Drosophila melanogaster: one gene and its partner. The gene in region 1 interacts genetically with each later gene. Each region holds a gene or a part of one and is shown on either strand. Other genes may lie near its edges. The genes, in order: mus304 and nbs.

The links.
Region 2: of mus304 (region 1) and nbs, changing one enhances a phenotype caused by changing the other (phenotypic enhancement), as found in Drosophila melanogaster (one study listed by BioGRID).

The regions. Positions count from the first base shown.
Region 1 is NT_037436.4:18,107,894-18,113,553, reverse strand, and holds mus304 (mutagen-sensitive 304), read right to left. Parts: upstream 3,741-5,660; 5' UTR 3,640-3,740; coding exon 3,004-3,639; intron 2,925-3,003; coding exon 1,424-2,924; intron 1,351-1,423; coding exon 1,171-1,350; intron 1,105-1,170; coding exon 881-1,104; 3' UTR 707-880; downstream 1-706. Other genes in the region: Polr3D (RNA polymerase III subunit D), read left to right, coding at 4,162-4,394, 4,454-4,833, 4,906-4,974, 5,027-5,592. UniProt on the Drosophila melanogaster protein: DNA damage checkpoint protein required for chromosome break repair and for genomic stability during development.
Region 2 is NT_037436.4:9,719,657-9,725,150, reverse strand, and holds nbs (nbs), read left to right. Parts: upstream 1-1,956; 5' UTR 1,957-2,027; coding exon 2,028-2,046; intron 2,047-2,111; coding exon 2,112-2,933; intron 2,934-2,990; coding exon 2,991-4,525; intron 4,526-4,585; coding exon 4,586-4,666; 3' UTR 4,667-4,703; downstream 4,704-5,494. Other genes in the region: defl (deflated), read right to left, coding at 1-82, 140-1,609; CG14174 (uncharacterized protein), read right to left, coding at 4,704-5,494.

The DNA of each region.
Region 1 (5,660 bases):
TAAATAAACGGCTAAATAAATAAATAAGAGTTTAGTTTAATAATCGTTTAACTGGTAAAAAGAGATGTATTTAATATTCTGTATATGCGAGTACAGGTATAATCATATGAAGGAATGATTTCTGATTACATTGGGGAAGGATCATAATACATACGTATATCATACATCATACATCTTACATACATACATATATATATTTATATACATATATACATATATACATATATATATATGTATACAGAAATGCATGTTAAAAATATATGCATGTGAAACGAAAAAAACAAAAGTTCTTAGATGTTTTGTTCTATGATCATATTACAATGATACTTTCTTATTATTGTGAGAAGGAAGTATTTGTTTATTTGAACCCACCTTTGCGAATGTTTATTAAATCAACAAATATAAGCATTTGCATTGAATCACGCTTATTGCAGTAAGCACCATAAGTGCACGTTGAACTTTTAATCAGAATACATTATTTTATACACAATAAGCACGGGTTTAAAATGTAAATGCTGAAAAACATCTAAATATTTACAAAATTAAGAAAAGCATCGCGCTTACAAACTAGTTCCATGCAAACTGAACTGGTTAAATTGAGCCATATCAGCTGTTTTATCAAGTTCCTTCGAAACGATAAGCTGAACCACCAACAAATATTTTGTATTATCGATTCGTAAATTGATATCGAAATGAAAAATCGATTATTTAGCGGTTTCTTTAAACGCTGCATTACATATTTGTATTTTGGAATGCGTTTTTTAAGCTCTAAATTTGTGCAGCGAGCCTTTTCAATTCTTAACATAGCATTTGAAACTTCACAATAAATTAACGCCACACCTATATGTATATATTACTAAAACGTTTAAGCTAACTATAACTACTCAAAAGTGTTCTCCTCCCGTTTAAGGGCACTAAAGAAGTCGGTGTTGAGTAATTTGCTGGGATCAACTGTCACAGCCGACTTCACAGCCCTTTGGTCATCCGCATTCTTGACAATGCGTTTCCATTCGGAGAGGTCGTTGACTGGATTATTGGGCTTGGCCTCCAGATGAAGGGGTTTCAGCATGAAATGGGCTTTAACCAGTTGGTTTAACAAACGCACTAAATGACAGGAAAATATTTAAAAAGTTAGCAACGGAAAATATGGAATGTTGTTAGGTCATTTACAATGTATTGACTGAAAACCAAGCAGGTTCGCATGCTCGCTCCACCAGTTGCATATGAGGCTAAGGTAATGCTTGGTCGTCTCCTCGGAGTCGCGAAACAGACAGGTGAGGTAATACTCGTGAAAGACAAGGGACAGAAGGTGCACTGCGATGCGGGAGATCTCGCCAACTTCTTCGGTGCCTAAATAGAAAGCACAAATATTGATTCGTGTCATTGATCATATGAAAATGATTTTTTTTTAGCTCAAACGCACCTGCTTTCCTGCTGTGCAACATCCATTGGTGCATCACCTGGAAGACAATTGTTACCGCACTGAGGCACAACTTTACATAGCACTCGCAGCCTTTTCCTCGCTGCGTTGTACTTGAATTTGAATTTTGATTCGGGTTCGAAACAGACGCTGATGTCGATCCATTGGAGACCGATCCCTGCACAGCTCCTGTGGAGTTGAAGCTCAGACTGGTGCCTGTTTTCATCAGAGTACCATCGCTGGAGTCCTCGTCGCCATCGTCGGCAAAGTAAGGCAGCATTTCAAGTATGAAATCCGGTGGGTTTTTGAAGCACTCGAACGCGAATCGCACATGATTTCCTCCGATCTTGAGCAGCAACTGAAAGTAGTCCTGCCGCAGAGGAGTTTCACTAAAGAAGCATAGCTCGAGTAGGCCCGCGTAGACCTGAAGTAAACAGGAGTCGGGACCAAATCGATAAACGGAGCGAACGCGATCCGATACAAAGCAGTCCTTGGGACTATTCACACACATTTTATCCATAAGTTGGGGATGTCTAAGGCAGCTTAAAAAGCAGGAGCTAAGCTCAGCAAAAACCCAAGGACTGGGACGAGTAAAAACTAACTGCTTAAGCAGATCGAAGAGTAGCTCCTCGTTATGTTGAAGAAGGGCATTTTCTTGTAGGAGGCTATTTAGGAGTGAAGTCAAGGCTTCCAGCAATCCAAAGTGTTGGCCGACCTCGTAGGAAAATCCTAGTTTTGTGATAGCTTCAATAGCCATATCTAGCAGTCCCAGATCATTTTCTTTCCACTCCGTGAGACCTCTAGAAATCCTTTCCTCTCGCCGGCAAATCAAAGCCAAGGTAGCTATGAAGCGACGCAGCGGAACAGCCTTTTCGTTATCATACAAACAGCTCTGATGGGTCAGGGAAATGCGATGAACTTCCTCCTCTAGGTTGTGGGGATTGTAGGGATACAGCATGCAGTTGTGTGGAAAGTCCAAACTTTGAGCATACGAAGCAAACTCCGTGAATACCTTGCCGACCGACGAGAGTATTCTTGGCAGGAGGTTATCCACAGATTCCGGCTTTGCCTGCAGCCGAGCGTAATGAAGTAGCAGTTGCTTTAATTCCAGTTCAAAATGATTTCTTCGTTTCTTAGTCTGATCCTCATTTTCGCTGTATTCGAACACACTGCCATTATCGGTTTTCAGCCCGGGCACAGATCTGTGTATGTTAAGCCTATTCAAGCGAAGTGATAAGCGTTTCTCCAAAGGATCTGGAGCAGCCTGTAAAATGCTCATGCTGGAATTCATGCTTCTTTCATGGGCTTTTTGCTGTGTCTTCAACTTTGAGAACTCGGCGTTCTTAATCTTCAACTCGATGTCCTTGGCCGCAATTTGTTTGGCCGCTTCTGCCACTTTTTTGTTGCAATCCCGATTCGTTTCGTCGGCCAAAGCCAGCTTTTCCATTTTGCTAGCCTGCAGCTGCTGGCGCAAGTGCTTCAGCTCATCACGAAGTAAGGAAACCTAGAGAAATAAATATAAATGGATTAGTTTCTGTAAGGTCTAGAATCGGTGTTATAGTTCCACCCCGATGTCCACCTACCTCACCAGACTTGATCTCATTGCGTTCCTTACTGTCGCCCAAATTCTTTTCCAGCTGCGCGTTTTCCCGCTTAAGGGCTTCAATCCTATCCATGAGAAACTTTAGCTGATGCTCCTGCTGGCGGGATTGCGTGGCATTGATGGTCGTCGTGGTCGTGGTTTTCTGCTGAACACTTATGCTGCTGGTAGTTATCCTACTTGTGCTGGTCTTCGGCTCCGGCATCTTTTGTGGCTCACTGTCCATGAGGGTAACGGCCAGAAAATCGAAATCATCATCATCCGCGAAAATCGCATCCATATCCAGGGAAGTAGGCTTCTTTTGTGGCGGCGGTGGCGGCGGAAACATTTGCTGTGTGCTGGTTGAGCCCTGAAAAGTGGGTGCAAATTCGCTGAAGGTGACCTCGCTGTTGCCGATGTCCACCTCTGTTCCGCCCTTCTTTTTCCGCTCCTCCGCCTCGATTTCCGCCTCCGCCAGCTGGGTGGCCATCAGGATGACATCGTCATCGTCGTCCCAGAGAATCCCATCGAAATTGTTCCTCGGTGGACTGGGTCGCGCTGATCCGCGGGTAACGCTAACATCCAGGCGCGGTTTCTTGCACCGCGCGAAGTCTTTCATGGCAGAAAAGCGCTTGGCCATGGTTCCTCCAGTTTCCGCTATATTTCGTTACTTTTTGGCCATGGAAAGTCGTAGATTATTTTGCCGGTTTGCTTTGTTTATAAAATGTAGAGCTCAACTAGCGTTGCCAGATGGATTTGATCGCAACGATGGATTTGCCCAACCAAAATAGAGATTATGTTTCGAATCCATGTTGCATAGAAAAATACTACATTAGGATTTACTGCAACAAAAAGCCAGTTTTGTAATATCGCTCTTTGTTATTATGCTGGTTTTTTTTAAGCGCCGATAGAAACCCGCTACAATCACAGTTTCAAAATCCGATTAATATTGAGCAAAACCAAAGTCATCTGGCTACACTCAAGTCTATCGACTGCGGTGTATCGGCATGTGGTGTATCGACTCAGCTTTCCCATTAACCTCAAAGGAAAATCAAAGAATTCTGCGGAAATTCTAGCCCAAAACTAAAGGACTTACGGGGAAACCAGAACCCAGCGACTTCGGTCGAATTTTCGAGGTGACGGGCGGCGCGAATGGAACGCCATGCCAGCGAAGAGGATGACGGTCACCACAGCAGCAGCTTCGACCATCAGTGGAGCCAGTGGGTCCACCACGAATAATGGTCAGTCTGGTGGCGGTGCACGCCCACTGGAGACGCTAAACGGAATGACCAGGCTGACCCCCGCCCGCGACTTGACCCTTGGTGGGCGCGGCGCTGGGACAGCCAGCAAAAAGGTCTTTGCTCCCAATTTGAATGCTGTGCGCAATAAAAATGCGTGAGTTGTGGAATGGCCCAGGGGGAGTCATTCTTTTCATCATCTCATTTGATTCACAGCAATGTCAAGACATCCAAGGACACCACGCAGCCAAGGAGCGGCCGCAGAGGTGGACGTGGCAACGGCACTGGAGCAACACGTGGTCGAGGTGGAAATTCCGCTGGCGGGGGCAACTCCACGCTCATCCAAACCCAGGGACTCTTCTCCGAAGGAGCAGGCGATGTTCATGTGCGAAGGTCCACAGGAAATGGAACGGCATATGCACGGGGCGGTGAGGAGGTGTCCGTGACCAGGAAACGGGTGGATCGCAAGGACGACAAGAGCCAGGCCGAGCGGATCAAGGAGCTCTTGGGCGAGTCGGACGCCAGTGGCGGCGAGCTCAGCGAAGAGGAGGCTAACAAGACTGAGATGGCACTCAGGCCCATCCTGCTAAAAGAGGGTACGTTTTACAAGCACTTTTTGATGCACACGGGCAGAAGAAATTCATGCTTTATTTGTTTATAAACGTTAGGACTCTGGGTCACCCAGAAGACACCGATTGCGAAGCAAGAAATCGCCAGTTCAACCTCAACACTTAAGGGTAAGGCGCTAAGCTTTAAAAATGGCATAATCTAATTTGATTTCGCTCCTAGACACTTTGGCAGTGGCCCAGCATTTGCAACAGCTGCATGTGGCTGCCCAGGCAGCCAGTTTAGAGGAACCTCCGCTGCAGTACGGTCGCTACCCACGCACCATTGGTAACTTTCTGGACTCCAGCGAAGCGCAGATCTTTCTCATGCAACTGCCAGATGTGTTGCCATGTGTGGGCGACGATTCCGAAGATCCGGAACCGTCTAAAGGAGATCATCAGGCCACCAGTGAATCGGAACCAGCAAGTCCTGCAGACAAATGCTCAAACGGACCCAAGGGCAGTGTACTACGGCAGCTGGAAGAAGGGCAGATCGGCAAGATTCTGAGGTACAAATCCGGTCGCGTTAAACTCCAATTGGGGGACACACGCTTTGACTTGGATATGGGTCTCGATCCGGGTTTTCTGCAGGAACTCATGTCTGTAACCGCCAATCGCGAGCAACGTAGTGGAAACATGATCAACTTGGGACCCATTCAAGCCAAACTAAAGGCCACTCCAGATTGGGTGCACCTTTTCCAGCAGCAGGATGCGGCATCCAAGCGAACGAATCCAGTACCGGGCACGTAGCACCCACTTCCCCATGGTAGATATGTAATATAGTAAATAGGCTGCGCCTAAGCTTAAGTTATTCCTAT
Region 2 (5,494 bases), 8.4 Mb from region 1:
ACTGTTGATCGCAATTCTCCTGGTCGATAATGGTGTTCAGCTTGTGCAGAATGAGCGGCAAACGAGCTAGCATGGGATTTATCTGTGGTTAAATTAGAAATTAGAAATTGTTTCATAGATGTATTAATGCATTAGATACCTTGGGCGGGGGCAACTCATCGGTGTCCATCGCGTTTTCGTCTACTATCAAATCTTCTGCGGTGGAAAAGGCGTACTTACGCAGCTGAAAGTGCTCACACAGACCCGCCAGTGCCTCGCACATAAGTTCCGCATTGGCTGGCGGATAGGCACCCTTATCTCCCAGGCTATTGGTCACGATCCCAATGAAGGATGTTCCAAATTCAGCGTTGGCTTTAGTGATCCTTATACCGTATGTCAGCACCCTACGGAGATCGCGGGTGCACTCCGACCGCTTGGCCGTGCAAAGGAGCAATCCTTCCATGTGCAGGTTGACCATATGAAGAATATCGTCCACCTGCTCGCCGCTGCCCTTTTTTTTTAAACCAAATGCTACTAGAACCGACAAAACTGCCATGGCCTGAGTGGCGGTGGTGTAGTCGTCCAGCTTGCTAATGCACTGGATGCACAAACGGAGCAGGGCTACGCGATGCTCGCGAAGCAGCTGCTGGCAAGTAAGCGGGCACTCGCTTAACTTCAGCAGGATTGAGAGGAAGAGGAACTGCTCCTTGGAATTGGTACACAATTCAAAACGATCAATGAGCGCTTTGATGGCTGGCTTGGGCCAGGCATGAACGCTCTGACGTCCGGCCAACTCGTTGAAAGATCGCAGCACCTGTATGCGTACTGGTGTCCTTAAGTCCTGCATGAAATCCAGCAGAACATCCAGCTGACCGGGCACTCCCACCAGCGTTCGTGATGACAATTGAGTGAGCGTGTCTATGATGGCCACCACAAAGCTCTGGGCTGGATATTTGGGCAGCAGATCCATGCACAGTCTGCTAACCAGTGACGCTGTGGTAGCCTCGTGATGCATGTGTCGCAACACGGGAATCAGGAGCAGCTTCATTGGCACCGGCACCTGAAGCGATTCGATCATGTCCGAAATCTTGGCGCACATGCTGATGGCAAAGGAACTTGACTGGGCGGCAAAGCAGCTGCTGGCATAGATGGCAGCCTCCACCTCGACGGTATCGTGGCTATCCAGAGCACGTCGAATGGCATGATGAACCTGTTGCTTCTCGGGAATCACACGGGAAACGGCGCCCAAGGTGCGCAGGAGGAGAGCACGCGCCACCGGATCGTTGGAGTGCATCACCACAAAGATACAGCGCACAAAGCTGTCAATGTTGAGGATCTTGTCCAGATGATTCTCGCTCTGCTGGCAAACACGGAGCACCCAGAAGCGCAGCAGATTCGATCCGCTGACAAAGTAATCGGCCAGCTTAATGAACGACGAGTTGATGAGAATGGGAAACGGATACTTCTCGAAGAGGCGCGGAAAGCGGACGACCGCCTCGCACTGGATTCCCTGCTTGGTGCTCCGCAGTCCCTTGTCCAGTTCCATGAGCACCGCATTCGAGTCGTGCTCATTTTCGTTAAGGAAGCTCTCGTTGAAGGTGCTCACGCGGGTGCCGGTCAGGTGAGACATGGTTACAGGTTTCCTCACTCACATTTATCGCAGATAAATCGTGTTTATTGAGGTTTTCATTAGCCAAACGACACAAAAACAAACCGGCTGCAAATGCTTCTTCTTGCTAATTTGTCGTTCGTAGGAAACTCCGGTATCATTGCAGCGATAGCTGGTCACTTAACAGTAAAAAAAACGTTTGAATCCAAAGTCTATATTGTCAATTCTTTATAAGCGTTTGTCGATCGATAATAAAATTATCCTGATTTCTAAAATAAGAAAAAAATCAATTTAAGAAACAACTATTAACTTAGAAAATTATGTAGAAAGTGATGTAGCCTATTATTCTCACTCCTTCTTTGTCTCTGTGTAGATAATTTGCAAATCTGCTAAGGTCACACTGCTCGCTATTTGTTGAATTTGTTAATGTTTTGAAATTATGTTTGTTTTGACTAAAGGCACGTAAAAATGGTCTAAAACACAGAGATTATTAGTTTATTCATTTTTTAAATACTCTTTATAGATGACGAAAAGTTTGTGTTGTTTCCTGGCAAAAAGGTGTACACCATTGGTCGCCTGGCCACGGATTTAATTGTTGCGCAGGACCTCAGTATAAGTCGCAATCATGCCCAGCTGCTCATCCAAACGGAAGCGGATGGCGATGACACCCTGCATATCGAGGACCTTGGCTCCAGATATGGCACTTTCATTTTCCCCAAGAATTCCCAAAAGCCGCGCAAGGTGCCTGCCAAAACATCGACTCCATTGCCTGTGGGCACACGCTTGCGATTTGGCGCAAACATGAGCATTTGGCAGGTGACCCAACTGAAGTTGGTTACAACTGTCTCCGCATTAACGCGTTCCGAGGTCCAGGAGCTCACGAAGATGCTTGAACCCATGGGCGGCACGGTCACTTCGAACTGGACCGAAGAGTGCTCCCATCTAACCATGAACGAAGTTTCGGTGACCGTGAAACTACTGCACGCTATGCTCGAGAATAAGCCGATTGTGACATTCCCCTACTGGCGAAAGATGCTGCAGGCAGCGCAGAGCATCCATGTCAAGGAGGGCTGGCCTCAGCCGGAGGATTACCAGCCCACCAACATAGATGTCACCTGGCGTCCTGAGCGTACCCGTCTCTTCGCCGGCAAGACATTCGTCTTCATGAACCGCAAACACTTTGATATGTACGGATCAGTTGTGCAGAAGGCTGGAGCCACGTGCAAGGACATCAATTCGGGTGTGCGCAAAACATTCCTAACAAAGAGTGATGTGATAGTCATACAGTATGTGCCATCGTCCCAGTCGCAGGCCACTGAATCAATCAATAGTATACAAGATAGGTGTAAATATATTGCTCACATCACAGCGTTTAAGTATTATTATGTATTATAATTTTTAGATATTTTGGAACAGAATGGTCGACGTATTATCCAGGAGTACGAGATTGGCATGGCCCTAATACATTGCTCTATAACAGAATTCTGCAACCCAACGCACAAGTTCATCTCCGATTCATTGCCCACCACGGAGTCTGTAACTTCCTCGATGGCCTTTAACTCTTCGATCATTGTGCCCAACACGGAACGCCACTCGGCGCAATCCAATGCCACGCCCATTTCCGAACTGGTGGTGCCTGAGTCAATTGAATGTGAAATGGAACAAGATGCTTCTAAGCCCCATTCGGAGGACCAAGCTTCTTTGCGTAAGCGGAGTCATGCCTCAACAGTTGACTCCTCGGACGAGGAGAAGAAATCAACATTGTCTAAGCGAGCTAAATCGGATATCGCTACGAAACTGACCATGAAATCAAAGAATGCCATATTGTTGGACTCGTCTTTGGAAGAAGATGTGACACCAGCTCCGGCGCCTGCTCCAGTTCAACGAGTAACAAGGCAGAGCAAAGCCATCGCTGAGGAGAAATCCGTACATCCACCTGTTCCAGCTGCGAGTAAGCACATAACACGGAAGACCAAACAGGTTTTTTGTGTTGACTCATCGGATGAGGAGAACGAAAATGCTCGGAAACCAAAAGAAACGCCAGCTCCAACTATCCCTTCGATGGCCAAGAAGAAAACGGAAGCACCCGTTGCCACCAGGATTTCACCACGACTCAATGGGAAATCATTGGCCACAAATATTACCAACCAACCGGCTGACAAACATGCAGTGCCTGCAAAACGTCCTGTTTTATCGGTGGCCTCGAGTGACGAAGAAGATGAAGGGGACCTATTTCAATTCCGTAAATCTCCACAGAAGCCAGCAGAGACTGTGGTTCAGCCAAGAATCGCAGGCAAAGGCAATGCACCTGCCAGAATCAGTGTAGTCGACTTTCTAGAGAAATCACAGGCACAAGAACCAGCTCCAGTGCCACCCCAATTGGAGTCCCAATCCCAGACACAACCGCGCAAGCGTTTACGCCTTGAGCTGCTAAACGAAAGCGACAGCGATGATTGTGATAATCTTTTTAACTTTGCAGACAGCAAAAAGAAACGAAAGACGCAAGAGGCTCAGAGAAATGATGACTCCACGGATGGCTTGTTTAACTTCAACTCTGAAAGACCGTCTGATCATGATGACGAGGATTCCCGGTTAACCGAACCATTTGTACCCGAAACGGAAAGCAAGAAGCAATCCAAGTACATAGTGGCACCGCGTAGAGATAGACCCAAGAAAGTGGACATCAGTGGTTGGTTATCGTGTAGCAGGCTAAACGATAATATCAAATCCGAAATAGATGCAGACTCAGTTAAGATGGAAACCTCTATTAAGGCGGATCCCGATGAGGAGCAATGGCTGGCCGCCATGAAAGACAGCATTGAGGTGCGCATGTGCAACTTAAACATTGTCATTCGCTCCCAGGAGGAAGTGGATGCTTCTCTTGAGGATTCTGTGAACAAGCATGGCGGCCGCAAGAACTTTAAGAAGTTTGTAAAGGTGAGTCTCGAATTAATAACAAATATTAAAACGACTTATTTATTTGTGTACCTCTGTTAGACCAAAAATCCTCATCCCCAAAAGCGAATTGTTGCGCTTAAGAGTCTTCGGCTGGCTGATGGTATGGTAACCTGTGTTTAATGTCGTGCCTAAACGTAATTAACCGTCGCTTGTGAAGTTACTTTATTTTGCTAACAATAAACTTGCGAAATATGTTCAACGCCTTTTCCGGCTCCTTGGACAACTTGCGATTGAACATCGTCTGTGCGGCCAGCCACTCGTGCTTGGCTATCTTTCTGGTAAAACAACTTTCTGGAGGAGGATTCAGTTTCCTGGCCTGCGACTCGCGTTCAATGAACTTCTGTGCATCCGCCACCGTGGCCAGAACGTTTTCATTGAATGTGGGTTTCTTTGTATCTTGAACGGGTGTTTCCTTCCTGGCAATTATGGTGCCCACATCAGATTTGGCCAACAGTTTGGCTTTTTCTACTTTGGTGACGACTTTTTTCGGTATCAGGACAATGTCTGGTGTTTCGTCTTTCTGCGTTTGGTTATTAGTTCTCGTTGGAGGTTCTAATCTGGCAGGAAGCTCTTGATTCTCCGCCAGAAACTTGTGCTTCTCCACCTGCGGAAAGTTAGCAATCTGGGGGCGCAGTTTGTTGTAAAGTATGGCACTTTTGCCGGCCTGCAAGGAGCTCAGTTTGCTAATCTTGGCAATGGCAGCGATTAGCAGCGTGGTGAAGTCCATGAAGAAGTTGTTGCGCAGGAGTTGAGTGAAGTATGCGGCTGCACTGAGGCAGCATTCCCTGATCCGCTCGTGCAGATGATAAAAACCCAGGAGACGCACCAAAATAAACTCAAAGCTGCTTCGCGTGGGCATGGCTCCGCCCAAATCTTCATCGCACACATCCGGCAGCACACCGCGAAAGTTTTTCAGATCCCTGGCCAAATCCAAGCGCAGCAGGCGGC